Linked DNA regions of Canis lupus familiaris. Each later gene encodes a partner of the first gene's protein in a complex. Links are inferred from orthologs where the notes say so. Each region holds a gene or a part of one and is shown in the gene's direction. Other genes may lie near its edges. The genes, in order: PHF2 and VRK1.

Region 1 (14,627 bases):
CTCTGGTCAGGATTGGGGTTCATGTGGGAGGCCCTGTGAGGAAACAGGGTCCTCTGGGGTCCTCTGGGGAAACAGGGCATCAGGACAGCCCCGTCCCACGGGCAGGCCTGCAGTCCCAGTGGAAAGCTCCGGCAATCTCCTGTACGGTGTGTCTGGCCAGCTGGCCCTGTGGTGCCCATTACAAGGGCTGGCTCTTTAAAAACTTGGAGAAACATCTTTCCGTGCAGGGGGAAATAGCAGGTCCCCTAAAGCCTCTGACCTGTGGCCCTGTCCCCACAATAGAGCGACGACTCCTCTGACGAGGGCTCACTGCACATTGACACAGACACCAAGCCTGCCCGCAACGCCAAAGTGAAGAAGGAGGGTGCGGGCTCGGCGGCGGGCATCCTGGACCTCCTGCAGGCCAGCGAGGAGGTGGGAGCCCTTGAGTACAACCCCAACAGGTAGGTCCAGGGTGCCTGCAGAGAGGCCGTGGGGTGCGGGTACCCCTGGGGAGGAGCCCAGGCCACGCCAACGTGGGGCCATTTGTGCCCTCACCGCAGAGGCAGGGCAGCCAGAGCAGGACCCGTGCCCCACAGAGGGGCTGCCTAGTGGCCAGGGAGGTGAGTAGGGGGCCGCACCCCACCCACCACAGTCCTGGACACTCAGCTCCAGCCGTGACGTCTGGCTGGCTCCATCTGGACGCTACCCAGATGCTCTGAAGGTCATGTAGTAAATTTTCCATGGCGCAAACCCAGCCTCCTGGTCAAGGGCATGTGGTATCTTTGAGCCCTGGGGCTGCAGAGACCTCACCCCGCAGGGATGGAGACCATGGCCTCAGAGCTTGGGGATGGAAGAGCTGTGGCCCGAGGAGGGTTCCCAGGGCCACACCCCGTGGGGCACGGGGGCCACACCAGACTGTCCTGAAGCCCCGTGTGCACCCCGACATGCCTTCGTGTGGCTGCGGCCGTGAAGGCCCGGGGTGGCCTGGCCTCTGATGGGAGATGAACCAGCTAACCCCTCTAGGCTTCGTTGGATGAAGGGCCCGGGCTCATTTTTCTGGACATGGTCCCAGTTGAATTCTCTCTCCATCTGCTTAAACTGGGTTAAGTGTTGTGTTCATTTTTTCCCCACATGGGATTTCCACAAGTAGCACAAACAGCTCACCAAGGGGTTGGGGCTCCCCGCCGCCTTGGGGGACCAGAGCCCCACCTGCCTGTTGATGGACCCGGGTGTGGGGTCCCAGGGGTCTGCATGTGCTGGGCATCGATGTCCAGGCAGGGGGACCTGCCGGGGAAGGGCAGCCTGTGCGGCCTGCAAGGGGCCTGCACGGGGCTCCCCTACATCTGCCTCTGAGGTGAGGCCATGTTTCCAGAACCCAGGTCCCAGGGCCGCGTGAACCCGCAGGGAGGCTGCTCCCGGTGGGTGTAGACACCCAAAGCCAAGGAGGTGGAGTCGAATGGCTGAGTCTCCTCTCAGGACTCTGTTCTGGGTGCCATGTTCCCTTCAGATGGCCAGAGGCCTGCATCTCCTGCCCGCCAGGAGGGACTTCTGTAGAGGTGCCCCAAGGGCCCCTCACCCACAGATGCCCTGTGGCCTCTGCCGTGGTGGGACGGGGCCTGAGGCCCCTTTGCTGGGACAAGCCTGGCTGTGACCCCGGTTCACTGAGGGCAGGGCACTGCTGCTGGTGCTGGCCCCTGGGGGCACCATTACCCTGGTGCTGCCTGAAGGTCAAGATGCTGGAGAGCAGGGTCTCTGCACGGGGGACACCGGGACCCCGGCCCGGGAGGAGGGCGGCCTGTGTGCAGTGCTACGCTCACTACCTGCAGACACTCACATGTGCCCTCACACCACCCGCACGTGCACATGCATGCCTGCCAGGCCCACCCCCTCTCCCCGCTGCAGGCGGTTCCTCTCCCCAATCTCCCGATTGGAGAGCAGGTCAGTTTTTGATGGTCCATTTGCTCTGTTTTAAGTTTTCGCTGCTGGGAAAAAAAAAGCTGAAAAAAATGGAGGGAAATATGTTAATTTGTTGTGGATGGTTGGCAGTGCGCACCGCAGGGGTAGGGGAATGTTGGAATGATAATTGGAGGATTAAGAGATTATTTTCCATGTGAGCTAGGTAGACTGTGCTCCTTGATTCACTGGCCGTGTGTGGACAGACGTGTGGCCCCTGCTGCCTGCGGCCCTGGGCTCTCAGGCCTGCCCCTTGGAGCAACCAAACTGGGCAGGGACCCCATGGTGGTGGTGGGGTCCTGTGCAGTGTGTGCCCTGGCCCCAGCCCTCCCTGCCCTGGCTGAGGGGCCGTGTGGACACCCCAGAGCCTGGAGTCACAGGGGGTGGGGAGCCCACTGCTGTTCCCCTGTGGGCAGAGGTCTGTCCTGTTCAGAGACCCCCAGTGACCGTGCTGCACAGCGCCCTTGTGCTCCAGGGCAGATCCTCGCAGTGGGGCTGGGGAGGCTGCATCCGTGGCAGGGAGTTCCTGCCTCTGCCGGGGGTGGGGGTTGCTGCCCGGACTGGACCTTTTCATTGTTTTGGCCTTGGGTCTGCAGTCCTGTTTGGCCCCAGCAGAAACCAGAGCGCTGTGGTCCTGTGTCAGGGCGGGAGCTGGGGCGGTGCCCGGGCCTGGAGCCAGCAGTGACCAGCAGGACGGTTCTGTCCACGCTGGCCTCCCTGGGCCCTGGGTGCTCCCTGGGGGCCAGCTCCACCCCCAACCTCCAGCCCGAGGCCTGGGAAGCTCTCATTTCCGCGTGGGGACTCATGGTCCCTTTTCAGGTTAAGGGTTCTACTACATGTGCTCCAAAACACTTTGGGGGGAGGGGAGGGGGGAAGGGTGTAGGGGAGGGTGTGAAAGCCGCTGATGCAGGATGATGCTGAACCTCTGACAGGGCTTGCTTGGACTGACACTTTGGCTGCTGCTTTGGGGTTGCAAGACCCCGTAGTGGGCCCTGCCCCTGGGGCACCTGGGCAGGCAGGAGGGGGCCTGGACGTCCGATATCAGGAGAGGACCCTGCTCCCTGGGCCTTCTGGTCTGTGAGGAGAGGAGGGCTGTGGGGCCCCAGCAGCCAGGCACGGGGTGGGAGCCTGTGCCTGGCTGCTGGGGCCCAGGGGCTGGAGGGAGGGTCAGTTCAGTAGGGCCCTGCAGCCCAGGGTGGGCTGTCCTGCCCCCCATGACAGGGTCCACAGGGATGAGGAGGATGAAGCTTCTAGAGGAGCCCAGACCTGTGCTTTGTGAGCTCTCCCCATCCAGCCATGTCCAGGACCCTGGTGATGCAGGGAGAGGCCCTGTGCCCCGCCCAGAGCCCAGCAGAAAGCACAGTGCCAGGCACAGCCTCATGGGGTGTCTCAGGAGCCAGAGAGCAAGTCCTGGAGGGAGGGGAGCTGGAGCTTTAGGGACTGCGGGTGCAGGGTTAGGGCAGTGGGAGGCAGCCTTGGGAAAGCACAGCACCCATGGGGGTGGCTGAGGACCTGGGGCTGAGCTGACATGTGGCCCTCTGGTAGAAAACAAGATGGAAGGGGCAGCTGCGATCAGACGCATGGGCACTCCCTGTCTGCCCCTCCCTGTGTCCCTGCTCCACGCCTTCTCTGTCCCTGCAGGGTGTGAGGGCAGACACCTGGCTGTTCCTTTTTTTTTTTTTTTTTTTAAAAAAAAAGATTTTATTTATTTATACATGAGAGACCCAGAGAGAGGCAGACACAGGCAGAGGGAGAAGCAGGCTCCCTGCGGGGAGCCCGCTGTGGGACTCGATCCTGGGTCTCCAGGATCACATCCTGGGCTGAAGGCAGACACTCAACTGCTGAGCCACCCAGGCACCCTGAGGGCCCCTCTCCTAAGCAGGAGTCATGAGCAACCACTGTGCTCCAGCCGTGTGTCCTCGCCGCTGAGTGGGAGGGAGCAGGGGCGGTGGGCGCTGGGCACTGAGCTGAGTGCCTGTCTCTCTGTGCCCCCAGCCAGCCCCCGGCCTCCCCCAGCACACAGGAAGCCATTCAGGGAATGCTGTCCATGGCCAACCTGCAGGCCTCTGACTCCTGCCTGCAGACCACATGGGGTGCCGGCCAGACCAAGGGCAGCTCATTGGCGGCCCACGGGGCCCGGAAGAACGGGGGTGGCAGCAAGAGCGCGGGCAAGCGGCTGCTGAAGAGGGCGGCCAAGAACAGCATGGACCTGGACGACTACGAGGAGGAGCAGGACCACCTGGACGCCTGCTTCAAGGACTCGGATTACGGTGAGCCCCAGGGGCGGGCAGGGCCTGTCCGCGGTGCTGGCCATGTGGGGCCGGGCCTCCTCCAGGACACGGGAGGCAGCCTTCGGAAGGTGTCCCCAGGGGAGGGGTGCCACTATCGCCACCCAGGAGGAATGCCCCTGGCCCCACCACAGAGCCCCCGTGCGTGTGCGCCATGTGTGGTACACGCTGTCCTCATGGGCTCTCCAGGGCGCGTGCCCACAGCCCCGAGCCTGTGCTGGGCTCACCCCCCACCTCCCCCGGCTGCTCCCATCCCAGTCGCCTGGCGGCCTCCACCTATCACCTCTGTGGATGCTGCGCTGTGGACGCAGGTGCGGGGGCTTTGTGAGGCCAGGTGTGGGGTGTCCCGGGCTTGGACCTGGGAGGTGGTGTTCTGGGTGGAGGGCAGATGCCCTGCCCTGGCCCAGCCACCCCACGGCCATACGCTTGCACACTGCTTGAGACCCCATCCACTTGGTCGGTCTCGGTGTGGAAAATGACACTGAGGCCCAGAGCGGCTGCCTTGGAGGTGGGCAGAGTGGGGGGGTCCCCAGGGCTGACCCCTCACCACTGACCACAGCCTTTCAGACCCTGCCCTTGGGGCTCCCAGCAGTTCGGTGGGGGCTGCTGCCGGTCTTGGGGAGGGTCTCAGGAACGAGGACCTGCCTGCACACTATGGCCTGCCCCCAGGGGTGGTTAGGGCCCAGGGGTGCTGGCTCTGGTGGTGCAGGGGCTGCCTTGGAGCTCACGCTCCTGCCCCCAGAAGAGCCCTCTCCGAGTGGAGGTTGGCCCTGGACCTTCTGCTCCACTCCCGGGGTCCTGGCTGGGAGTTGGCTGGGGGTGCCACTGGGGGGGTGGCTGGGGGCCAGTAGGGGCCTAGCTGGGCGGGTAGCTGGGGACCCACCCCAGTCTGATAGGCTGTTGGCAGTGAGCTCCCTTGGGGGGCAGGGCAGGCCCTGGAGGTGGCAAGACACCCCTATAGTGGGGGCACCTGGGGTCACCAGGGCTATCAGGTGGGGCTTGCTTCCCAGGGACCCGCTGGGTGGGCTCCAGGGATGCTGGGTGTTTCCCTCTCTGCAGCCACAGAGCAGGGGACCTGCTAGGAGGCCCTGTGGCCAGGCCCGATGGTTTGGGGGCCGCCTATGCCGTGCATGGGGCAGCCGTTCTGGGGGGGACAGCAGCTCACCAGACCTGCCCACAGAAGCTTTGTCCCCCGCGGCGTCGCTGGCTCAGGTCCTCCCCCCACCCCGTAGTTTATCCCTCTCTGGAGTCGGATGAGGACAGTCCCGTCTTCAAGTCCCGGTCCAAGAGGAGGAAAGGCTCTGACGACGCTCCCTACAGCCCCACAGGTAGTGTGTGGAACTGGGCGCCCCCTGCCCGTCCCTCTGGCTTCAAGGCTGTGGCCGGGGGTGGGGGTGGGGGCCTGCAGGGGCCTCAGTGGGGCTGCACTCCTCCTGTGAGTGGGCTAGGTGGGTGGGGGTCCCCATGGGGTCTGAGAGAGCACCCCTGGGAAGGCCATGACTGCACCTGGCAGGGTCATGGCAGCCATGGGGGTGGGGGGCTTGTCACCATCTGCATGACCCCACCTGCTTGCTCCTGTCTTGCTGGCATGGGCCCTTCACATCGGGGCTCATGTTGTGATCTTGGACAGACGGGGGCCGGGTCATGGGGCCTGGGAGGGCATGCAGATGATGGGGGGACACCGCTCGAGCAGGTGTCCTTCTCTCCCACAGCAAGGGTTGGGCCATCGGTGCCGAGGCAGGACAGGCCTGTGCGCGAGGGCACCAGGGTGGCCTCCATCGAGACTGGGCTGGCAGCTGCTGCAGCCAAGCTGTCCCAGCAGGTGAGGAGGGAGCCTACCTCTGCTCCCAGGGGAGGCCAGGGGCTGTCACGGGCTTGGGGTCACTGGAGCAGTGCTGACCCCTGGGGGGTGTTGGGGAGGCGGGAACTGGCCACTCAGGGTTGGGTAATGGGGGGTGATGGGGCAGGGGACTCATCCCCTCGCTCAGGAGGCCTGAGGGGCCACTCAGCGTCTGAGGCCGCCCATGTGCTGTGTCCAAAGGAGGAGCAGAAGAGCAGAAAGAAAAAGAACACCAAGAGGAAGCTGGCTCCCAACACGCCCTCCCCCTCCGCCTCCACCACCTCTGCCAGCACCACGTCTGCCAGCACCACGTCTGCCAGCACCACGTCCGCCTCCACCACCTCGGCCTCCACCACCTCGGCCTCTACCACCTCGGCCTCCACCACCCCGGCCTCCACCACCCCGGCCTCTACCAGCACAGCCAGTAGCCAGGCCTCCCAGGAGGGCAGCTCACCTGAGCCCCCGCCTGAGGCACATAGCAGCAGCCTGGCGGACCACGAATACACGGCGGCTGGAGCCTTTGCAGGGGCGCAGGCTGGCCGAGCCTCCCAGCCCATGGCCCCCGGGGTCTTCCTCACGCAGAGGCGGCCCTCCGCATCATCCCCCAACAACACCGCTGCCAAAGGTACCGTGCCTGCATTCCCCAGGCCGCCCACGGCTATACCGTGGGGACGGCAGGTTCCTTGTGCAGCTTGGCCATGTGTCCACAGCCACCCCTCGGCCCTTTGGACAGGAAGCTGTGGTCACACATGGGCCGGGCGGGTCTGGTGGCCTGGGCTTCAGGGCCTGGCCAGGAGGAGGTGTGGTCAGTGCCAGGCTGAAGGCTCCTGGGAGGGCCCGAGGGGATCCGTTGGGGGCAGGACTGCTGTGAGGTCCTTGGTCCCCACCGTCCCTTGGGCCCCACCTGTCTCCACCCTGTGCCTCACCCCTGTAGCAGTGCTCCCCGCCCTTGTCACCGTGCCCCAAGGGTGGGACCCCGGCCTCCCCTGACCTCTGCTCACCTGGCACATTTCCATCTCCTCTGCCTGCAGGAAAACGTACAAAGAAGGGCATGGCCACCGCCAAGCAGAGGCTTGGGAAAATTTTGAAAATTCATCGGAATGGAAAACTGCTCCTTTAAAGTTTGGAAAGCCAGGATCCTTCTGCTCCGCTCAGGACCCCCGGAGCCCCGCTAGGACATCAGCCCCCAGGAGGGCGGCTGCGCTGCCTCACCCTGGGGAGGGCCTGGCCCTCCCGGCCACCACTCCCCCCATATGAGCATCTGTTGCTTCAGCCGGCAGAGCGCACCGACGCGGACGGACGTCCTTTCTCAAGTTGCTTAGAGTGACCAGTTCCCGAAACTCGGCCCTGCCTGTTTGAGGACCATTCCAGTTCCAGGAGAGCCTCTGGGCCCCCCTGAGTGTGGGTGTGATCACAGGGCTTCTGCAGCTCTGTTGGGAACATGAGTCCTTCGAGGAAGGAGGAGTGAGCCAGTGCTCACCAGGCCCAGAGTCCGAGCTGGCCACAGGCCGGTAGGCTCCAGAGGCTTAAAAAAGGAAAGAACACTAGAGAGGAAGAGGAGGAGAGAGTGGGGTCTTCTGTGCCCCCCTGCTCTTCCTGAGTGATTCTCAGACAGTCCAGAGAGTGTGCGGCCCGGCCGGGAGAGGGGCCTCTGTGCTCCCCGGTGGCGGGTGGCGGGCCGGATGTTGGGTGTCGTGCCCTGAATGGCTGGGGCCTTTCTTGGGACGCCGGGGCCGTGAGCAGGGTCAGTGTGTTGGTGGGGAGGGGGCGCCGTCACGGGGTTCCCCCTCTCCCCCCAGGCAGGGTCGGGCCCAGCTGTGATGTGGGGCCTGGGGGCCTGGGCCAAGCCGTGGGGGGGGCCCCGTGCTGCCCCCCCGGCTACACTCCTAGAAGCACTTCTCAGCCGAGGCACCCCGCCTGGCGGGGCGGATGGCGGCGGGCAGCCCGAGGACGCGGGGCCCAGCACGTCTGTCTTGTCACCTGTGTGTTTGGTGTCGAGTCCCCAGGTGGACCCCGGACTGAACGTCCGCCCGTCGACATGGAGGGGGCTGGAGTTGTTTCTCAGGCAATCCTGTATTTTAATTTTAGATGTATCTCCTGAAGCATATTTTTCATAGAATGTAGCGTGTAAATAGCTTTTTAAATAACTTCTTTTTTATAAGAGTAAAAGTATCTTTAGGAATTTCTTTCTAGAGAGTCCGTCATTAACATTTATACGAGTTTTTTGCCGAGTATGACGAACACTTGGGTTTGCCTTCCTTCTTTCTGTTTGTTGTTCCTGTTGGTGTTACTTTTTTCTTTTAGGAACTAAGGTATTGCCTGAAAAACAAGTGGTGTCTGCGGAGCCTTCTCTGTGTGTTTGCAGCAGCAAACCGCGCCCCAGACCCGTTCCACGCGGCGGGCGCGGGGTCTCCGACCCGGACACCAGCTCTTTCTTTCCGTCTCGTTGGCGAAGGGGGTGGGGATGCAGTTATTTTACTTAGCACCTTGTGAAGTGTTTCTGTGTTTTGTGATGCTGTAATTTATTAATGTTTGTAGCTTTTTATATTTGTACATTTCTTATGAGCTTTGTTTATACGCCTGTCCCCGGGCGCCGTGTCCATGAGGCCGGCCCCGAGGCTGGCGGACGAGCTCGCAGGGCGCCCACGGCGCCCACCGTGCCGTCCCGGCGTCTGCGAGGCTCCTTTCCCATCCTCGTTGAACATTTATATAATCTAACCCGGCCATCAAGCTGTTCTCTCTCTCTCTCTCTTTTATTTTTTAAAGTTTATTATTATTATTTGGCAACATGTACATTTCTAACAAAGTTTACCGTGGCTATTAAAGTGTTTTATTTCCCAATTCATATTACTCTTGTATCGAGTCCATGAGGTCTAAGGCAGCTTAGATCAAAGTTTTAAAAGAGTAAAAATATTTCAGGTTTTGTACAGAACCATGTCTGTGTCGTTCCTGCTCACTCGCCAGCGTCTGCTCCCGCGGTGGGGGTGGTGGGAGGGGGCACCGAGGGCCCGGCCCACGTGCTGCCCTGCACCCCAGAGCCGCCGTGCCCCACGCCGCCTGCAGGAACGGCCCGAAGAGCCCGTGGGGGCCGGCGGCCTGTGGGACCCCGGCTCCGTGACCGCGGCCCCGGGCAGCCTCGGGAGCCTCCAGAAGCACCTACTGCCCACGGTGCGTACCTAGCGGAGGCCGGTGAGTGCAGGCCAGGCACCCAGAGATGCTCCGCGGCTGTGCAGGATCTGTCTACGCCCCTGCAGTCGGGACGTGGGGCCGGAGAGGACGGAGGGTTCGGGCACCCGGGAGGGACCCGCTGGGCATCCCTGCTGCCGGCCGGGCCTGTCATACTGAGGCTGGTCCACAGGGGCCGATGGGCTTGGTCTGGGCATGGGGCTCCAGCTAGCAGAGCTGCCTGTCCATGCACCAAGGCTCCAGACGCAGGCCGCCCCGCTGAGAGCGTCTGTGGGTGGGCAGTGTATTCAGACGGTGTGTGGGTGGCAGTTCATCATGTGCCATTTGTGACAAAGCACAGCAAGGTCCCTCCATCCTGCTGGGCAGCCAGCGTGGCCATCTGTGCCCCACGCGGCTGAGCGCCTCCAGGACCTCCCTGAGCTGGAGGGTTGGGGTGGGGCTCCAGGTACCCACTCTCCTGAATGGAAAGTGCTGCCCCCCCGTGGTGCCCTGTGTCCACGTGGGGCGGCCCCTCTGTTGGGCATCTCAGGCGTTGCTGCCCTTGGAGGTAGCACCGTCCCAGAGCCCCCAACAGCCCACGTCCCCCCGACTGGGCACTCTCCCTGCTTGCTGCTGTCTTATCCCTGCCCAGCTCCAGACAGATTCTGCTCCATGGCTCCGGGGGTGGGGGGGGGGGCGGGTGACCACGCTGTCACCTCACAGCCATCAGGTGCCCTGTTCTGCAGGCCCCTCTCCGGATGCCCACCAAACCCAGACTGGCCTGCCCTGAGCCCGCACCCTGGAGGCTGGGCCGTCTGGGTGCTCCTGGTACCCCTGCCTTCGTGTGGCTGTCAGGACTGGACCTTTAGAGCTTGTCTGGGGGCAGGGGGCTGAGGTCAGGGCTGGGGAGAGGCTCCCAGAGGCTACCCAGCATCCCCTGAGCCCTAAGCCCCAACGCAGGATCCCTGGGCCGTGCCCTGTGCCCCCATGGGGCCCCGCAGCCTGTGCAAGGTGTCCCAACAGGGTCCCTGGCTGGGCGTGTCTGAGCTGTGGCCCTGGGTGCACCCCGCAGGGGTGGAAGGGCCAGGTGCTGTGGATTTTCTGGGGTCTCCCCCTCCGGGCAGGGCAGGCTGTGCGGTCCGTTCATACCCAGGGCCCGGGTCCAGGTCACCACGCTTCCTTCCCACCGCCTCCACCGCCGGCCTCTGGGCTTTCAGACGTCCCCACGGGCACGAGTCCCACAAGCATGAGCTCCAGGCCCAAGGCCCCTGCCCCCGCGCCGGGCTCCCAAGGCAGTTGCAGCAGGTGCGGGTCAGCTGCTGAGGCTGACCGCCTCCAGATGGGGAGGCCCAGCACCCACTCCCAGGCTCCTGACCCCAGGCCCTAACTCCCCACCTCCCCATCCTGTGGGCCTGCAGAGCCCGAGGAGGGTGGCCCTAGGGGCGGCTGGAGCCATCGTCACCACCACAGGGCCCACGCCGCGCTCCAGCCCGGCCTTCCCAAGTCCAGCGGGATTCCATGGTCACCCACAGCTGCTACGTGCTGGGCCAGGCAGTGCTCAGAACCTTCTGGAGCCATCATCCAGCGCACTTCCCCAAAGAGGTCGCGGAGCTCAGGAGAGACCGCTGCCTGGCCTGGAGGAGGACGAGGTCTGGCCAGCGTCTGCGTGCACACCCAGGTAAGGGGGCTTCCCACGGGGAGACCGGAACGTCTTTAGCAACGTGAGCAAAGGCCCCGAGGCAGGCGGCGTCCCTCCAGGGCTCCCGTACCCCCTGGGGCTCGCCTCCCTCGGGAGCCCCTCGCTGCACCCCCTCCCTGGGAGCCTCCACCCCGCCCTGTGCCCAGCACTGTGGGCCCCTGGGCCCCCTCCAGGCTGGGGACCAGCCGGCAAGGGTCCCACTGGGCGCCTTGGGGAAATGTCAAGAGTGACCACCAGGGGGCAGGGCAGGGCCGGGAACCAACCGTCGAGGCATCGGAGTGGGAGCCAGTGGTGTGGGGGCTGTGGAGGTGGGGGTGTGGCGCCGGGGCTCAACTCTGGAAGGAGCGAGGGGTCGGTCGTCCTGACCTAGGTGAGCGCCTGGGGGGGGGAGGGGGGGGTCTGTTCCTACACCAACCAGGTCCTGGCAGCTTCACGCTCGCCACTGTCCTCGAAGGTCCTAGGACTGTCTGTATCTTAACCAGGGAGAAACTGAGGCATGCAGCCTCACAGCTGGTGGAGCTGGGGTTCAAGTGCAGGTAGGACAGTTCTCGGTCCCCAGGAGGCAAGAGCAGATGGAAGGTGGCTGCCGTGCAAAGGCCCTGAGGTGGGGATGGCTGGAGCAGGGGGCTGAATTCCAGGCAGCAGGGCCAGGTCACACTGTGGCACCGGCAGCTGTGTGAAGGGCGCAGGTGCCGTCCCCTCACCTGGTTTCGCCGCCCCCCCCCCATGAGGGTCTTTAGCTCTGCAGGCTACACAGAGACCTGCCCTCCACCCAGCCCTGCCCACCCCACCTCTGCACAGCCGAGCAAGAGGCTCTCTTTGCAGAGAGGGACACTGAGGCAGATCGTTTGGGGGGGGGTCTCTGCCCTCTTTGGGTAGAGAAGAAGGACTGTCAAGGGGGCTCCCCATCCAGGGTTTTAGAAAGGCTGCTACCCGCTAGTTCCCAGTCCTGGAAAGCAAGTCCCCTGCACAGTAATTCCCACGGTCGCAGAGGCACAACGTTCTGTCAAACACTAGGTGGCCAGTGTGACTGCATTTCCAGAGTGCCTACTGTGTGCGAGGCCGAGTGCTCGAGCTTTCCTGCGGCTGGTCCCTTACCGCTGCGCCTCCGCCTTGGCCTGTGCGGGAGGGGCAGCTTGGGCCCTGGGCTGGAGGCCTCTCGGAGGAGACAGTCTTTGAGCAGAGGGCCTGATGTAAGTGTTGGGGTTGCAAAAAGGCCTGTGCAAAGGCCCTGGGGCAGGAGTGAGCTTCCCAAGGAATAGTGGGGCACAGGGAGGGTGGAGAGCTCAGCAGGGCCAAGGTTCTGGCAAGGTCATGTCCCCTACCGGCCCTACGAGTCAGGAGGGGTGGGCACCCCTCGCCTGGCCGCCTGGCGGTGGGACCTCAGGAAGGCCTCCACCCCCTCTCTCACCCAGGGGCCGCCGGCTGTGTGATCTCCAGCAGTCACTTCCTGTCTCTGGGCCTCTTGTTCGGTCTGCTGACCGCGAGTGGAGGGACAGAGGAGAGGCGCCAGCTGGGATGCGTGGGAGTGTGTCCCCCTGGCCCACCCGCTGTCCTCTCGGCCACGCCCGCAGGGGGTCGGGTCACCGCAGGAGGTGGCCGAGGGGCCTGGGCCCGCTGGGAGCACTTTGCAGTCTCCTCCCTCCTGGAGAGCATGGGCGTGGGGTGCCTCCCCGCCGGTGGACAGGGGGCCTGGGCGGGGCAGCGGCTGTCGGGCAGCCTGACAGATGACCTCCCTCCTCAGCCGCCGACCGCCTTTCCCAGGCCGAGTCCCGCCGGCCGCCTCATCCAAACATCCCCGGGGATGCCACCTCGGCAGAAAAATGACGCTGTTCCATTAACATCTGACACGGATTTGCAGGCCCCAAACAGACGAGCACGCATGTAAACAGCCGGCCTGGCTGGGCCCCCGCCCGGCCCGCTCACGGCGGGATCCTCATAATTGATTGTCCACCCGCTGGCCCCCAGCCTCCCCCCAGCTCCAGCCAGTGTTATTTCAAGATCGCAATCCCCCCTCCCCCCGCAAACCGCATTTCCCAAACAGCGGATGTGCCTGCTTGGAGGAAAGAGGGGAAGGAGGCTCCTGGTTCTGTGGGCCTCAACTTCCTCCCTGTGGAATGGACCCTCCTCAGGGTGTCCCATGGCCACATCCACACAGCTGCTGGAGCCTCTGCTCCTCTGCCCTTTGGGTCCTAGGGAGGCTTCTCACCTGTCCTCCTGCACCCCTACACTGGGTTGGCTCAGATCAGAGCACCTGCTGGCTCCCTGAGCCCTCCCTGGGACCCCCACACACACTCTTGGGCCCCCCCCCCAGCATCCCCGGGACCCCTGCCCCTGGGACCCCCCACCAGCTCCCCTCAGCACCCCGGGCCCCCTACACTGGCCCTGCCCTGTCATTTCCCTCTTCTAGATCCCCACATTTAGCCTTGTTCACCGTGTCCTCTGGTGGGCTGTCCAGCTCTCTCACCCTCTGTGGCTCCCTGCTAACTGCCTCCATCCTCTCAGGGCGTCGGTCCCAGCCCATGTCCCTCAGAAGACAGTCCCCAGCCTCACCCTTTGCTGGGTGCTAGGGCTCAGGGCAGGCAGTTTGGGAGAGCCAGGTGGGCTGAGAGACCAGGGACCCAGGGGGAGGCGGAGGTAGGAAGGGGGGAGGTTGCAAGAAAGGGAGGAGGTTGTGAGGAAGGGGGCTCCAGACCAAGGAGCTCATGGTGTGGGGGGCGGGGCAGGGGTGTGCAGGCAGACAGGGGAGGGAGTGGAGGGGGCTGTGGAGCCCTGCCCTGCAGGGTGGATTAAGACAGAGATGGGGGGGGCCCTTCTGGGGCCGGGGGTTATCGCTGCTTCCTCCTGTGAGGCCTAGGTGATTCATGGCTGGAGGGCTGGAGGGCAGGCTGTCAGGGAGAGATGCCAGCCACTCCTGTAAAGGGTTGGGCTGGCCTGTCCCGGTGGCCCAGGGGCCCTGGATGGAAAAGCACAAGGCCCCAGGCCCTACCCTTTGTCCCTGCACCCATTCCAGACTAGTGCTCTCAGTTCTTTGCACTGCTGCTGGGGAGCTCATGCCCTCCTGGATGCTTGGCTCACACCCCAAACCCAGCTGGTCTCAAAGAGCAGGAACCTGTTTTCCTCGGTAGCTCTGAGGGCCCTGAGCTCTGGGGCTTAGGACATGGGCCTGGCCCAAGAGAAGTGAGCAAGTACCTCTGTTCCCCTTCTCTGTCCCCCTGCGGACCAGTATGTGATGGAGAAATGACACAAGTGACTCAGTGACCTATCTAAATCATGGCGCAGGCTATTGGGAGGCAGATCATGCCTCACTGGAAAGTCTTGTGGGATTCCAGGCAATGGGGCTATTGCATTTGAGCAGGGGCAGATGTCTGTGTTGGAAGGTGTTTCTGGAAGCAGAAATGGGGAACAGGCAGTCAGGGCCGAGAGGAGGCAGAGGTACCTGGATGAAGGTAGGTGGCCATACGGCCTGAGCTGGAGACAAAATTATGTTTATCAGGAGACTATGGTGGATTAGAGGGCTGCATGGCTCATCCAAGAAGCTTTCAGAAATGGCTTGCTAAAATAAATGGGAACAACTGAGAAATAGACCTCCCACCCCCAGACCAGAGCCATCCAGTGGAATTATTTGCAAAGATAGAAATGTTGGTATAATTCACGTGAGCATTTGAAATGTGGCTACTGTGACTAACTTCTGAATTCT
Region 2 (14,627 bases), on another chromosome or scaffold:
TCTAGGCATCACATGCAAACACAGCAGCCCACAGCAGTAGAAAGTATTGCTTGTTGTGTGTTTCATTTTCCTGCAAGGGAACCTCCCTTCCTCTCGTGTTTTCTTGGTTGGGGTTGTATCAGTGCTCATTCTTAAACTAGTCACTGGCAAAGGCCGAGCGATCACAGTGATTGGCATGGCGGAGCACGTGGCCACGTGGAAGAGGACAGAATGCCTGAACCCAGTTGGTGCTTTGTTGAAAAGGATGGAGAGGAGAGGTAGTTGTCAGATAGGCAGCCAGTGTTGTCTTTTACTTGGAAGTTCTTATCATGGGATCTGTGTATCCCTCAGCGAGTGTGCGAACTTCCTGAAATAATGGCGTTTTGTTATATAAGGTTTTGCTGGGACGATTCTCTATAGTTCTCATGGAAATTTTGGAGAAATAGTATAGAGCAAGGAGTTATTATGAATAGAGCAAGGGTTCTAGAGCCATATTGTTGGGTTTCAAATCTGTGTTTTGCTCCTTAAAATGTATGTGACTAAGTAAGTTACTCCTTTTGCCTTGATTTCCTTGTTTGTGAAATTGAATAACAGCTACCCACTTAATAAGGAGGATGAAACAAAAGCTATTAGAATATATGTAAAATATTGTGTTAACTTTTACTTTCAAGGGGATTTTAATCCCTTAAATGTTCAGAACTACTGATTTAGAAAACCATTGGAGAGCAGGATAGCATCTCAGGTGGGAGAGTAATATGAATGCAGGGCCAGGGTAGGATTTTGGCCTGTTGTGTGGCACTCAGCATCACTCTTTCACCAGGAACAGGGTGTGCATTTGGAAGGGAGAAGGGGCCTGAGGCTGGTAATGGAGACTGGGGTGAGGAGAGGAGAGCGGTGTGGAAGCATGGAAATCTTCACCACCTTCTTTTGTAAGAATGCTTCTCCCACTGAATAGTAAAATGAAAGTTATTTCTAGGTAATTCCTCCAAGGGAAAGCCATCAATGTCTACTTTCCTGGGGACTTAGATAAAATGGCACAAATGATGGGAAAATCAGTTGATGTGTATAATTTGAAACAGACGATTAGGGGATTATTTACAGTAGTGGTGGAGTGGTCTATGAATAAAAACAAAGATGTACTCAGTGTGATGTATTAATAGATCTCATGTTGAATTAAGCAATTGTGTTTTAGCCCTCTTTTAGACTGTTAGCAGAGGTTGTATTTTCGTTACCCCTGTATTATATTATACTAATTACATCACTTATCATAAAAACAAATGTGTATTTGTGTCCTTTTGTCCTCCCTCCAAAATCAAGTTGTACAAATGAAATCAGGAAGTCAGAATTATTGTTCCTTCTTTATGATGATAGAGATCATGGTGTACTGGAAAATCTTGCACGAATGAATGCATTTTGCTCTAATTATATGACTTTGGACAAAGCATTTTATGTGTATACACATTAATTTATTTATTAAAAGATGTTTAGATAAGAGGATCTCTCATTCCCTTCCACTTCAAAAATGAATAGAATCCTGATTTTTTATTTGTCATGTTATCTTTTAATGTTAGCTTTCCTTCCCTGTTGAACTTGTCATATGGTATTTGTTGTAGGCTTCACAGATAAAAATAAGTGGGATTTTTTGTGTACCACTGACGTTTATTTATTTGGATATGTGAAAAAGAATGACACCATCACTTCCTGGAAGGCAAATTACCAATCATCAGTTTTCTTCTGCTGTAAAATGGGGTGAATAGGAGCCTCTACCTCATGAGGGTGATGTGAGGTTGACATGCACTAATACATGTGAAGTAGACCAAGGCTTCAGTGAGTGATAGGTGTGGTTATGATGATCATCATTAATCTTATCCTCATTGGAAGATACATTGTGAGTGTGGTATTGGTTTTTACGATTTTTCAGAGTGATTTAACCAGGCAAATCAGAATCTGGAAAACTTGGTAAAGATAAAAGTGATCCTTAGAGCATAAGGTGAACTGTGTTACTGGACTGAGGTGTTGCTGTTTGGGCACACACAGAAGTGTCACGGTTGTCGAGGGTTAGAATTCAAGTGCCAGAAAAGACCTCCGTAGACATGAGGCCCCACGCTCTCATTTGACACCCGGGGGAATCAGGGCTCAAAGAAGTGATGTGAGTCAGCCAAGGTGACCTAGTGGGTTTGTGGCAAAATCAAAAATCTGCACATTTCCCCAGGATATTTGTTCTTCCCTAACTCTTGTCCTTTGAGTATTTAACATACAGCCCTTTTATACCATTTAAACAATTTCATTGAATTTAGCTATTATTATAGCATCTTTGGTATCTTGATTTTAATAAAATGTTAATACTGCTAAAATGTGCCCCCAAAATAGAGAAAAACGGTCACAGACAACAAGCTAATATCCAGAAACATGAATTGACTTTGGCGGGAAGAAAATCCGTGATACTGGTCTTACTCATATTGTCTTATCTTTCCTGTGAATGAATCAGCTGGAGTCAGTCTGTGGGCTAATTACCTTATATTGATGGGTGTCTCAGGAAACTACCTGGCTGCCACCAGGAGAAGGCCCTCAGGCAGGACAGGGAAGTATTCCCAACTCTGAGATTTCTAGTTGGAAAAAATGGTTTCAAATGTTTGTCTTTCTTTCCTCCTTTCTTCTTTCTTCCCTTTTCCTTCTGCTTTCTTACTAAACATGGACTTGAAAAAAATGACTGTGAGAGTAGTCCCTGCAAAGTAGGTTACCCGAGTTCTGTTTTGTTTCATTGACTTTTCTTGTTTGTCTTTAGTTACAGGTTTATGATAATGGATCGCTTTGGGAGTGACCTTCAGAAAATATATGAAGCAAATGCCAGAAGGTTTTCTCGGAAAACTGTCTTGCAGCTAAGCTTGAGAATTGTATGTGAGCTACATTCCTCTTGTTTTAATCCAGTGAAGGCGAGTTGCGTTGAAGCTCGGTCCTCTGCTGGCTGGTGTTAGGTACTGCATTAATTTATTCTATATGGTGCTTTCATAGCTGGATATTCTGGAATATATTCACGAGCATGAGTACGTACACGGAGATATCAAGGCCTCAAATCTGCTCCTGAGCTACAAGAATCCTGACCAGGTAGCATTGTTAAGTTTAATTTCTACTAGTTAAAAGCTGTTGTTTGAAAACAAATATGGTTGCTTTGAACTTTTGAACCTGTGCAGAAGTTTTACTTTTTGGAGTCGATATGGTAATAATAATATTTCTTCTTGACACTTTTATCTAGTTAACATTCTACATTTTTGATGCGATTTGTTGGCACTTTATCAAGTTGGCTATTTTGCCCTAAATAATATTCAGAAGAAGTGCTTGTGATACAAAATGAATTTCAAATAGCTATTTGGGGGTGGAAGTTTAAAATTATATAGTGCACCGATGAATTATGTTTGCCTGTCTGCTTTGTCATTTTTTTATTTCCTTTGTTCAAGAAATCCATCAAATGTAAGTGTTCTATTACTTGGAAAATTTGGTCTTTAACATGTTGATTATTCAAATCAATTGGTTTACAGAAATATCTTAGCTGTCTAAATTTGTATACCCTTAGTGTTTAGAATTCAAATGTGCATTTTTTTTTTAGTTTATTACATTCACTTTGTAATTTTTACTTTTTAAGGAAAAGAGAAAAGCTAATGTTATTATATCTCTATTTGGATCAGTTTAGTCAGAATAGAAGGGTTTATACAATGTTCTTGAAGCTGTACCACAATTTTGGTTAAAGTAAGGTTTGACGTAGGCACTCCTGGTAGGGCCACTGAAGGAAATCAGTTCCATATGTGTTCTTGCATCTTATTGATGGTGTGTAAGAAGGGACTGTCTAGGTATTTGAAGTGTGTTTATGTTGACACTCCACTTTATTCTTTTTCTCAAACCAATCTTTGACTTCCTCTTGCTTAGTTTCCACTTGTCCCTTCACCTTCCCTTTATTGTCCATCTGACATTGTCCCCCCAGCCCCATCTCTGTCACAGTGGCTGTCAGGGGTCTTTCCGTGCACAACAAAGGAAAGTTGTTATATTTGTAGAATGCTCATGGGGAAGTCTTAAAGGCACTCGCAGGATTCCCAGACATCTTGTGTTAGATGTTTTTAAAAAGGTTAAAAGCAAGCAAGCAAACAAACAACATAGCTGAGGATTCCATTAAGCATAAGGATTCCATTAATTGAGGCGAACTGTACTTGTACAATGTAATAAATAAAAATACCATTGATTTCAGTTTGCAATTAACCAAAATATGCTGCCTTTTGTTTATAGGAAAATATTTTTGCATCTCTGTTATCCTTCGGGCATATGCTTTGGATGGGATTATTTTTCTAGTGTTAGATGTGTGTGTTAGATCTGTCCCTATATTTTTACTTCAGTTTCCTCTTGTGATCACATGCATACATTTGTGAGACAGTTACCCAGAATTAGAGATGTGATACATGGCTATGGATTAGAAGAAAGCCAAATTTACTAGCTTTTATGCTCATCAAACCCACACATACATGCCCACAGATATGTGCTTTGTAGTATTAAAATTTAGTTTTAATTATGAAGCTTTATTATATAATATTTAAATTATGTATTATATAATATATCTCATATATTATAGATAAAAGTCATCTAAAGGTTCTTCAGATCATTATTGTAATCTGAACTACTTTTATGAAATGAATTGATAATTAGAATATTTTGTAAGTGAAGGAGCAGAGGAATAGAAGATAATGTATCATGTATCATCTACACCAGTAGTCTTATATTTGGTGTGGGGCAGTTGTAACAAATATTGATGGTTTCCTCTCTGCCCAATTATTCTGTTTTAGACCCTGCAAGAAAAAGTGCAAGATTTATAATCTTTGCTCAAGTTAGCAGACAGGATTAATTACAAGTATAACATGCTTATTTTAAAAAGTATATAAAGTCAGGTGATAGTGTCTGGAGTTTAGTGACATGATCACTCAACATTTTTCTTGAAATAAGTCTTTCAGAATTGGGGCACCGTGGTGGCGAAGTCCATTAAATGTTCTGACTCCTGGTTTTGGCTCAGGTCATGATCTTAGGGTTGTGAGATCAAGTCCTGTGTTGCACTGTGCACTCAGCATGGAGTCTGCTTGAGACTCTCTCCCTCTACCCCTCCCTACCTGTGTACACACATGCTCTCTCTCTCTAAAAATAAATAAATAAATCTTTAAAAACAAAAAAAAGTCTTTCAGAATTCAGTATTTGCTGTTGTTAGCATATTGGATCTCACTTGTTGGGGGGTACAGTGGTGTGGCCTTGCAGATGAATCCACCTTTAAATGAAGTATTTTATCTCTGGGCCATAAAGGATTATATGTGCAATCATTTTGGCTTTGATTTTACCTTGTGCTTGGACATTTATAGGTGTACTTGGTAGATTACGGCCTTGCTTACCGGTATTGCCCAGAAGGAATTCATAAAGAATATAAGGAAGATCCCAAAAGATGTCATGATGGCACAATTGAATTCACCAGCATTGATGCGCACAATGGTGTGGGTATGTCAGATTCCTCCCTGGTTCTTAATCTTGTACAAATAAACAAGCTGATAAATAAATAAGAATTGCAGAGGCAAGGTAAGGCCAGGGAGGGATCCGGGGAAGAGGTTAGACTCTTCCAGCCCTGTAATCTGCCACCTTGTCTTTCCCTGTGGTCCCCTTCTGTCCTTCACAGACGCCATGGTTTGAGCAGGGAAGGTGGTTTGGTTCAGCTCAGGATTTCTTTTTGGTTCTCTTTAGCTTAGTTGAATGTGGGGTGTTATTCCCCCTAAAAGTCTATAAGTTTCTTAGGCAGCCATGACTTGGCGGCAGGCAAACTGACTTTCTTACCTGTGAAATCATCCTGCTTTCTTTAGCAGGCATTTTGCTTTTCTGGGGCCCGTACAGTATAGAGGAGCTGAGACCCCCAGTTCTCTGGGCCTCTCCGTAGCTCATAGCATTTTAGTGTCTTCAGGTTTTCCAAGAGCAATATTAAATGTGTCTCCACTTTATAGTTTATTTCCTACACTCATAGTCTTAGTTTGAAACTCTAGAGTTTGCCAATTTGGATTTTAAAGTAAGCTGTTAGTTGGATGTAAATGACTTCTTTCGTATTGCCAAGTATTTATTCAGTACTTTTATTAAATGCAATGATAAGTTTTGATGAAAAACAAGACTGTAAGATTGGCTGTTTTACTTTATTGGTTTGTATATATTTGAAACTATACCTGAAAGTGATTTTAGTATCCTTATCCTGCTTCTTTTGTATTCACAGCCCCATCAAGACGTGGTGATTTGGAAATACTTGGTTATTGCATGATCCAGTGGCTTAGTGGTCATCTTCCATGGGAAGATAATTTGAAAGATCCTAACTATGTTAGAGATTCCAAAATGAGGTAAAGGAAAACTTAAATTATCTTGGGCAAAATCATGATAAGATAAATGTGTATGTCAGAATTTCTTGAAGAGACTATAGTTTTAATGGCTACTGATGTAGAAATAAGAAAGTACTTGCTAAATAGGAGGAGTCCTTGGTTCTGTCTTCTGTTTATTTTAGAAGAAAGCCTGTAAGCATATTTAGGATGTAACGCAGTGCTGCTTATTGTGCTATTTACTGTCATTAAATATTAATAAGTTTCCATGGTATAAAGCTTCAAACAATGACTCATTCTTTAATTTTTAACAGATATAGAGAGAATATTGCTGGTTTGATGGACAAATGTTTTCCTGAGAGAAACAAGCCAGGTAGGAAAAGACTTCTTAAATGTTCATAAGGTTTTCGTTTTCTGGGAGAAAAAGATTAAGAATCATGATGTGCACAGCATATCCCGTAAAGTAAGAGCTTAGGTATTTTCAAGTGTGATTGTTGTATAGAGGCCTGTTCTCATCATGACAGCAGACCCCTTTCCAAAGGTGGACTAAATGGGGATTTGAGCTTCCTTAAGTTATTGTTCAACTTTCAGGAAAGGAAACCAAATTTCATTCATAAATTCAACTTTTTTTTTTTTTTTTTTTTTTTTTTTTATTGAGGCTTGATTGAATGCCAGGAACTGTTCTAGATACTAGAGTTACAACAGTAAACTAAATAAAGAGAAATTTTTGTCTTCATGAAGCTCATGTTGTAGTTGGGAGAGACACACAGTAAACACAGGAGTGATTTTATAGTATATTCTGTGGTTAGTACTATGGAAAAAAAGAAAGTGGGGAATAGAATTAGTGAGTGTGGGGATGAGGTAGGGAGTACAGTCAGGGGGAGTTGGAATTTTAAATAGGGTGGCCAGGGGGATCCCTGGGTGGTGCAGCGGTTTAGCGCCTGCCTTTGTCCCAGGGCGCGATCCTGGAGACCCGGGATCGAATCCCACGTCGGGCTCCCGGTGCATGGAGCCTGTTTCTCCCTCTGCCTGTGTCTCTGCCTCTCTCTCTCTCACTGTGTGCCTATCATAAATAAATAAAAATTAAAAAAAAAAATTGGGTGGCCAGGATGGCCTTATTGAGAAGGGTGACATTTGAGCAGTTGGAGATAGGGATTGAGCTCTGTGCAAGTCTGGGGAACAGTGTGTCTGGTGAACTAGAGGACTGCGTTGTTTTAGGCCATCCATTATAAGGGCTTTGGCTTTTACTTTGAGCAGGAGTGTAAAGTTTGGAGTAGACGAGTGACATCAATGTGTATTTTTAAGGGAACTCTCTAGCTCCTGTTCTGAGAATAAACTGCTAAGGGAGGAAGGCAAGTATGAGCAGGAGCCGGCTAGGAGGGCCACCACAGAGATCCAGGGAAGGGAGGTAGCAGTGGGAGGAGTGAGAAGTGGTTACTTCACACATATTTAGATGTCTTTTCAAGCCCTTGCTCATTTGTCTCCTTTTTAGGGTAGTCCACTCTGACCTTATGCAGTTTAAAATTGCAGTCTTACCAAGTACCATATGAGAAATGGAACGCTATAGGCTTTTCAGAGTCCCCCCTTGTGCCTCCTACGAATCATGAGCCTTTCCCTCTAGGCTAATGAATAACTTGCCTGACTTCCAACCCCTAAGATTTGTTTTTGAGCTCTATAAAAAATGGAATCATAGAGTGTGAACAACGTAGATAAAAATCCCTGCCCTCATGATCTTGACTGCTAGCTCTGTTGGAGTCCTGTTTCTTTTACTCAGTATTGTATTTGTGAAATGCATTTCCATTGTTGCATGGGGTTTTTTCTTAATGTTTTTACTTATTTATTTTTTAACTTTATTGACAAATACAATTGTATACATTTAAAGTGTACAATGTGGTGATTTGATATATGTTTATATCATAGAATGATTAACAAGATCAAGATAATTAACACTTCTATTACCTCACAGTTAACTTTGTGGTGTATGTGTGTGTGTGTGTGTGTGTGGTGAGGATGCTTAAGATCTACGCTCAGCCACTCTCCAGTCTGTAGTACCAGATTATTAACTATAGTCCCCATGCTGTGCATTTGATCCTCATGGGACCCCATTGTTGCATGTTTAACAGTGATGTGTTCATTCTCATCTCTAATAGTAGTCTGTTGTATTTATATCCTATTACTTAACTATTCTGCTGTTGATGGTTTCCAATTTTTGGCAATTATAGATCCCCTGTTACAGATATAGATGTTTAGTCCACCTAGCATTGATTATTGTGCCTTATATAAGGAGGGGCCAGATTTTTTCCCACCCCCATATTTATAAACAGTTGACCGAGTAGCTTTTCTTGAAGAAAACACTTCTTGTCTATGGTGCTACCTTTGTCTTAAATCAAGTGTGGATCTGTGGATCTGTTTCTGAACTCCTTCTTTCTGTTATTCTTTTTGTCTGTTCTTGCGCCACAGTGTCATAATGATTCTGACTGAGTCTTGACATCTGGTAGTATAAGTCCTTCAGCACTGATGCTCCTTAACTTGACTTTGGTCTTCTGCAATTCTTGACCCTTTGAGTATCTGTGTACATTTTAGAGCCACCTTGTCAGTTCCACACACATCCCCTCCCTTTCCAGTTTGCTGGAATTTTGAGTGGGATTGCCATGACTCTAGATCAGCTGACATCCTTGTACTAGTGAGTCTTCCAATCTACTAATAAAGTATATCCTCCACTTCATTTCTTTCACTGTGTTTTATAATTTTGTCTGTAAAAAGTCTTGCCTGTCTTCATCGTATTTGTTGCTAAGTATTTGATGTTTTTTTGATGCCATTGTAAATGATCTGTTTTTAAATTTTATTTTAAGATTTTTTTTTATTTTAAAGAGAGAGAGCATGTGTGTGTGTGTGTGTGTGTGTGTGTGTGTGTATGTGTGTGAGAGCAGGAGGAGGACGGGCGGAGGGTGGGGGAAGCAGACTCCCTGCTGAGTACAGAGCCCATTGAGGGGCTCGTTCTCACGACCCTGAGATCATGACTCCTGCTGAACCAAGAGTCAGAGGCTTAACTGACTGAGCCACTCAGCTGCCCCAGTGATCTATTTTTTAAGAAATTTATTTTCCAATTGCTTGTTGCTGATACATAGAAAATGATTTTTTAAATATTTACCTTGTATTCTGTAACCTGGTAAATTTACCTATTAGTCCCATTAGTTTTTTTTATAGATTCCTTAGGGTTTTCTGCATACAGTGCTGTGTTTGTGGATAAACTGTTTCACTCTCTTTGCCTTCTCTTTCTTTTCTTGCTTTACGGTACTGACTAAAAGCGTAGATGACTATTACACTGAACAGAAGTGGTGAATGTGGACATGCTTCACATTTTACCCCCTCCGAAGGAAGGTTTTCCATATGTGACCTTATTAGGTGAAGTTTGCTTTAGATTTTCCATAGATCCTCTATAGATTAAGAAAATGAAGGGAGGGATTTCCATTTCTTTTTTCCTCACATATCCCAAGTACCTAGAATTGTGCCTGTCGCATGGTAAGTGCTAGTCAGTGTTTGAATGAGGGTGTGTGTGTGTGTGTGTGTGTGTGTGTGTAGTGCTCTCAGGATCTCTTGGTTTATGGCATGTGGGGTGTGGGAAGAGTTTTTGGCTTGAGCTGGAAGGATGGAATTCTCAGTAACTGGGGTGGGAGGAACTGCAGGAGAGCAGGTGGAGGGATAGGTCAGGAGTTTGGATTTGGATTTGTTGGGATTCAAGAGGATAGTTGGAGATCCAAGAGGAGTGGGCACACAGGTTCCTGGGGGCCAGTGGACGGATGAGGCTGGGGATGTAGGAGTCGTTAGCTTAACGATGGATTTCTGGCCTTGAGGAGTGTCTATCTTGACTAGTAAGATTTCTTTTTAGGGGATTGGTCCTGCCTCAGTGTACAGTGAGCCTTTCATCATTCAGAAGCTGATTTTCCTCTTTTATGGGAAAAGTAGGTCTTGCTTCTTTCTCCCTTCAACTTGGCTTTGGTATGTTTTATTTCCCATTTTCACAAAGAATGCAGCTATTTTCTATAGAATTAATGGCTTCTGTGGCAAAAAAAAAAAAAAAAAATACGGCTGTGATCGTCCTTGTACTTAAGTACCTTTTACTTTATAATCTGTTTGAGGTCCTTTCCTGTTTTGTTTTTGTAGCCTTAAAACTACAGCAGTTATTTCGTGCATGTTTAAATTTTAATATGTGTCTCATCTTTTGTCCCTTAGAATTACAAAAATGTCTTTTACATTCTATCTCAAAATAAGTTTCTTATTTCACTTATCTGACAGCTCCCGACTTCAAAAGCGTACTTTCTATTGAAGAAGTGATTTATGTAAAAAACATATTTTAACAGGATACACATTTGCATTCTAATTTTACTGTGAGTTATTTTCTTAGAAGTAAGAGATAAATCTGTTGTATTTGTGATTAAAAAATTACAGAACAATTATGTTACTCTTTTAGATGAAATTGCTAAATACATGGAAACAGTGAAATTACTGGGCTATGCTGAGAAACCTCTCTATCAGAACTTGCGAGACACTCTTTTGCAAGGACTAAAAGCTATAGGAAGCAAGGATGATGGCAAGCTGGACCTCAGCCCCGTGGAGAATGGAGGCTTGAGAGCAAAGTCAATGACGAAGGTGAATTTTGATCCTAAGTTATCCTTTGGCCTCCTATGATGATAATTGCCGCAAACTAATTTTAGAGAAATAAATCAGTAAAGAAAAATGTAACAGATTGCTTGGCAATTAAATATCTATCACCATTAGGTAAAGGCACAAAAACATGTAGGGGGTTGTAGAAGAATGAATAAGTATCAGTTTCTTATGTGCAGTAGCAAGTTAGTAAATTCCTGGAAAGATTGTCACTTGGGATACTGACCACTGACAGGGGGATTGGGATGGGGCATGCGATTTAGAGTGTGGGTGTTTTTTTCTCCCAGGCCACTGAGTGCGGTTGGTCTTCTCTCTTAGCTTTTCCTCCTTTGTTGATGTGGTCAAAGCATTTACCGTTTGAAAATCAGTGTTTGAAAATGACTATTTGAAAATTAGTGTTCGAAAGTTTCTTTGTTTGCTGGTGTGGGGTGCTTACCATTTGACCATTAGTTTGCTCTTTATAGAAATGTCATTATGTAAAGCTATGTATCTGCATAGAAAGAGGTTCACTTATCGGACAGCTATGTTAACAGTGAACATTGTGGGCAAAGTATTGTGCAGGCATGTAAATAACTTCTTGGTATGACTTTAAAATTAACTTATTGGATATTTTTAATTAAATTACTAACTCAGATTTCCTTTATAGTCTGAAATTATTGAATAAAATGTGCTACCTGCATTTAAATCAAAAAGAAGAACTACTCTTAGAAAAAAAATATTTTTTTACAATACTACTTTTCCTGTTACTGACTCTGTAAATTCCAGTAGATTCCTTTGGAAATCTCCAAACTATGAGAAAAAGGGTTTAAAAGCAAATTTTCTCTTCTTAAAATAAGAAGCAGCATTATTAAAAGGTTTTTATAATTCTTTTTAACTTTATAAGTTAATGTTATAAAGGAGATGGGAATTTTGAAATTGTATCTTGAATTTGACTTTTTTTTGGCAGTTAGGTCTCTGTGTAGTTTCGCTCCAAATCTGAAATTATGCACATGCACCTACATCTAAATTTTTTTCTTTTGTAAGTTTTGTCTTAATTGCATCGCTCCATTTTTGTGGTCAACAAGTGTGCTGAAAGCCATGTCCAGTTTTGAAATGAAGAGGATAAAATGGCAGCTCGAGTGGGATTTTTCAGTAAGGTAGTAAACTTATAGTTTGCATGTATGTGTAAACATACAGCTTGCACCTTTCTGCTCAGGACAGGTTTCTGTGCATTAATATTCATAGATAGCTTCTGTGGTGTTTTCCTCTAAAATTTTGCTGATTGAGAAATAAAGATCTCTGTTGCAGTGAGAACATGTCCAGTGCCATACCCTCTTACTTTTCAGATCACTGTTATTTGGACTTACATGCTGGAGAAAATTTGGTTTCTGCAGCTTGGCTGACTTTATAGCTGAATAGGTCAGTCTGCTGCAGAGCTAACATCTGTGAACTTAAAATTCTCATGTGTCCTTGGGTAGTTCAGAAGGCTGGAAATTTCCTGCTGGATCATCCCCTACATGTATAAAGCTTCATTTAGAGGAGGAAAAAAATGACTAACAACTGAACTATTAGATTGCTTCATTAGTTTACTGCTTTTTTTGCCCCTACCCTCATAGCTGACCCAGGCCTATTCTTTGTATTAAAAAGAAGTTAATAAAAGTTCAGATTAGGTAAGATCCTGAAGCTGCTTGATGGCCGTGTAACTGTAGATGAGTTGTTAATTTTAGGTGGCCTTTTGTCTTGTTTTTGTAACCTGAACAAGTTGGACCAGACCAGTTTTCTTTTTTAAGTTTTTTTTTTTTTTTTTAAAGCCCAGAACATTTTCTTCAAATACATTGTAAATACTCCACATTTAAGGCAGATAATAGCAGAGCTCCACCAACTGAAAAGTTAGGGACTCTGTCTCTACAAGGGAAAACTTTCCCTTTGATAAATTAGTATTCCATCTTTTTTTTTTAATTTTTTAATTTTTTTTTATTTATGATAGTCACAGAGAGAGAGAGAGAGAGAGGCAGAGACACAGGCAGAGGGAGAAGCAGGCTCCATGCACCAGGAGCACGTTGTGGGATTCGATCCCGGGTCTCCAGGATCGTGCCTTGGGCCAAAGGCAGGCGCCAAACCGCTGCGCCACCCAGGGATCCCTCCATCTCTTTTTTAGCAAGGGGTGTATAATCAAGATGTCGTTTTTTGCTCTGGTTACTAGGAAGCTCAGAGTTAATTATGCTTAATCATAGAAATTATGCTAATCCTTATAATTAGTATGTATTCTCCTTTCCCTTTGTCATAATTTCTTAAAACTTTTAAGTATGTACTCTTTGTATTTACGACACTCAAATCTCTTTTGGAAAGGGATAATAGTTTTAATTCAATATACATATTTCTTTTTATGTTCCTGAGAGTTGTCCATGATGGTAAGAACATATAAAAATTGGTTAGCAGTGGAATGAAACAAGGTTTCTATCCATTTTTAAATAGCCATGCTTGATTATGGTACAGTAAATTTGGAAACTAGAGTGAAATATGAATTTTCCCACTTGAAAATGTTTTCAGCCTCAGTAGCCTAAGAGTTTTATTTAAAGCACAGGATTTGGGGATAATATAAAGCTGAAGTAGAAAAAAACTAGGTATCAGTCTACCTTTAGGAAGTTCACAGCCAGAGATTTTCATTGTTGATCAGAACTGAACACTTGCCTTAGAATCGGGCAGTACAGTTCCAGCACTGGATTCAGTGTGTACTCTTAAACCAACATTCAACAATATAAAGGTCTAATTTATGTACCTGGTCTAGGCTGGGTCCCCGGGGCTATAAAGATCAATAGCACGTAGTTCCATCCTTAAAGAATTCCTCCCTGTCCGATCTGGGTTAAGAACAGCTTAATTTACTGGAAAGAACTCAGCAAGTTAAAAGGACATTAATACCTCCATTAGCTATTTTCTTGTAAGGTTTTGATTAAGTTACTTGCCCAAGCCAACAAAAGGGGCTGTTCATTAGAATTTCTCAAGTCTCATCCCTGGAGATTCATTGAGTAGGTCTAGAGTGTGGCCCTGCGATTTGCATTTTTCTCAACAGTATATACTGTTGTTTCCTGTGAATGACGTGCACATACCCTTTTCTCTACTCCCACATTTTTTAGTTCTTTTAAGTTGTATTATGCTAGTTCCCTTCCTAGAGTTTCTCTGAAAAATGATTAACCATTAAATAAATCCCTGCTGGTACTCACCCTGAAACATAGTACAAGGAGACAAGAGTAGAGGCCCTCCATTGCCCACCAGTGGTCTGCAGCTGCTCTGGTGGACAGCTTCCTGTCTCGAGGTGACTGCCCCCAAGGCAGCTTATAGTTCTAGTCAGATAGCCCCAGATACACCCTCTGAACTTGGCGAAAGTCTGTCTAGCTGGGTTTAGCATGCTAGAATAATAGAAACTGTCTTTTCCTTTATATAAGTTTAGATGGTTGAAGTCAGTACATTTCTTTCCTAGAATAATAGAAACTGTCTTTTCCTTTATATAAGTTTAGATGGTTGAAGTCAGTACATTTCTTTCTGTTTTTTTTTTTTTAATTTTTATTTATTTATGATAGTCACAGAGAGAGAGAGAGAGAGGCAGAGACATAGGCAGAGGGAGAAGCAGGCTCC

What was found.
Region 2: the proteins of PHF2 (region 1) and VRK1 are in contact, whole or in part, in a crystal structure (PDB 8F8Y), measured with the Homo sapiens proteins. The link is inferred for Canis lupus familiaris from reciprocal best matches to the Homo sapiens genes PHF2 and VRK1. Residues at the interface, in NP_005383.3 of Homo sapiens: Tyr7, Tyr14, Val16, Thr17, Arg18, Phe19, Met20, Ile21, Glu22, Trp29, Glu39, Ala42, Ile45, Asp46, Tyr48, Lys64, Tyr145, Ser147, Glu150, Lys175, Val178, Asp179, Tyr182, Ser183, Thr184; in NP_003375.1 of Homo sapiens: Pro2, Arg3, Val4, Lys5, Ala6, Ala7, Gln8.

The regions. Positions count from the first base shown.
Region 1 is NC_049222.1:98,905,020-98,919,646, reverse strand, and holds the end of PHF2 (lysine-specific demethylase PHF2), read left to right. Parts: intron 1-282; coding exon 283-443; intron 444-3,930; coding exon 3,931-4,205; intron 4,206-5,455; coding exon 5,456-5,551; intron 5,552-5,935; coding exon 5,936-6,045; intron 6,046-6,264; coding exon 6,265-6,688; intron 6,689-7,094; coding exon 7,095-7,183; 3' UTR 7,184-8,995; downstream 8,996-14,627. UniProt on the Homo sapiens protein: Lysine demethylase that demethylates both histones and non-histone proteins. Enzymatically inactive by itself, and becomes active following phosphorylation by PKA: forms a complex with ARID5B and mediates demethylation of methylated ARID5B.
Region 2 is NC_049229.1:65,854,150-65,868,776, forward strand, and holds part of VRK1 (serine/threonine-protein kinase VRK1), read left to right. Parts: intron 1-2,764; coding exon 2,765-2,873; intron 2,874-2,991; coding exon 2,992-3,084; intron 3,085-5,366; coding exon 5,367-5,499; intron 5,500-6,253; coding exon 6,254-6,374; intron 6,375-6,664; coding exon 6,665-6,723; intron 6,724-10,821; coding exon 10,822-11,000; intron 11,001-14,627. UniProt on the Homo sapiens protein: Serine/threonine kinase involved in the regulation of key cellular processes including the cell cycle, nuclear condensation, transcription regulation, and DNA damage response.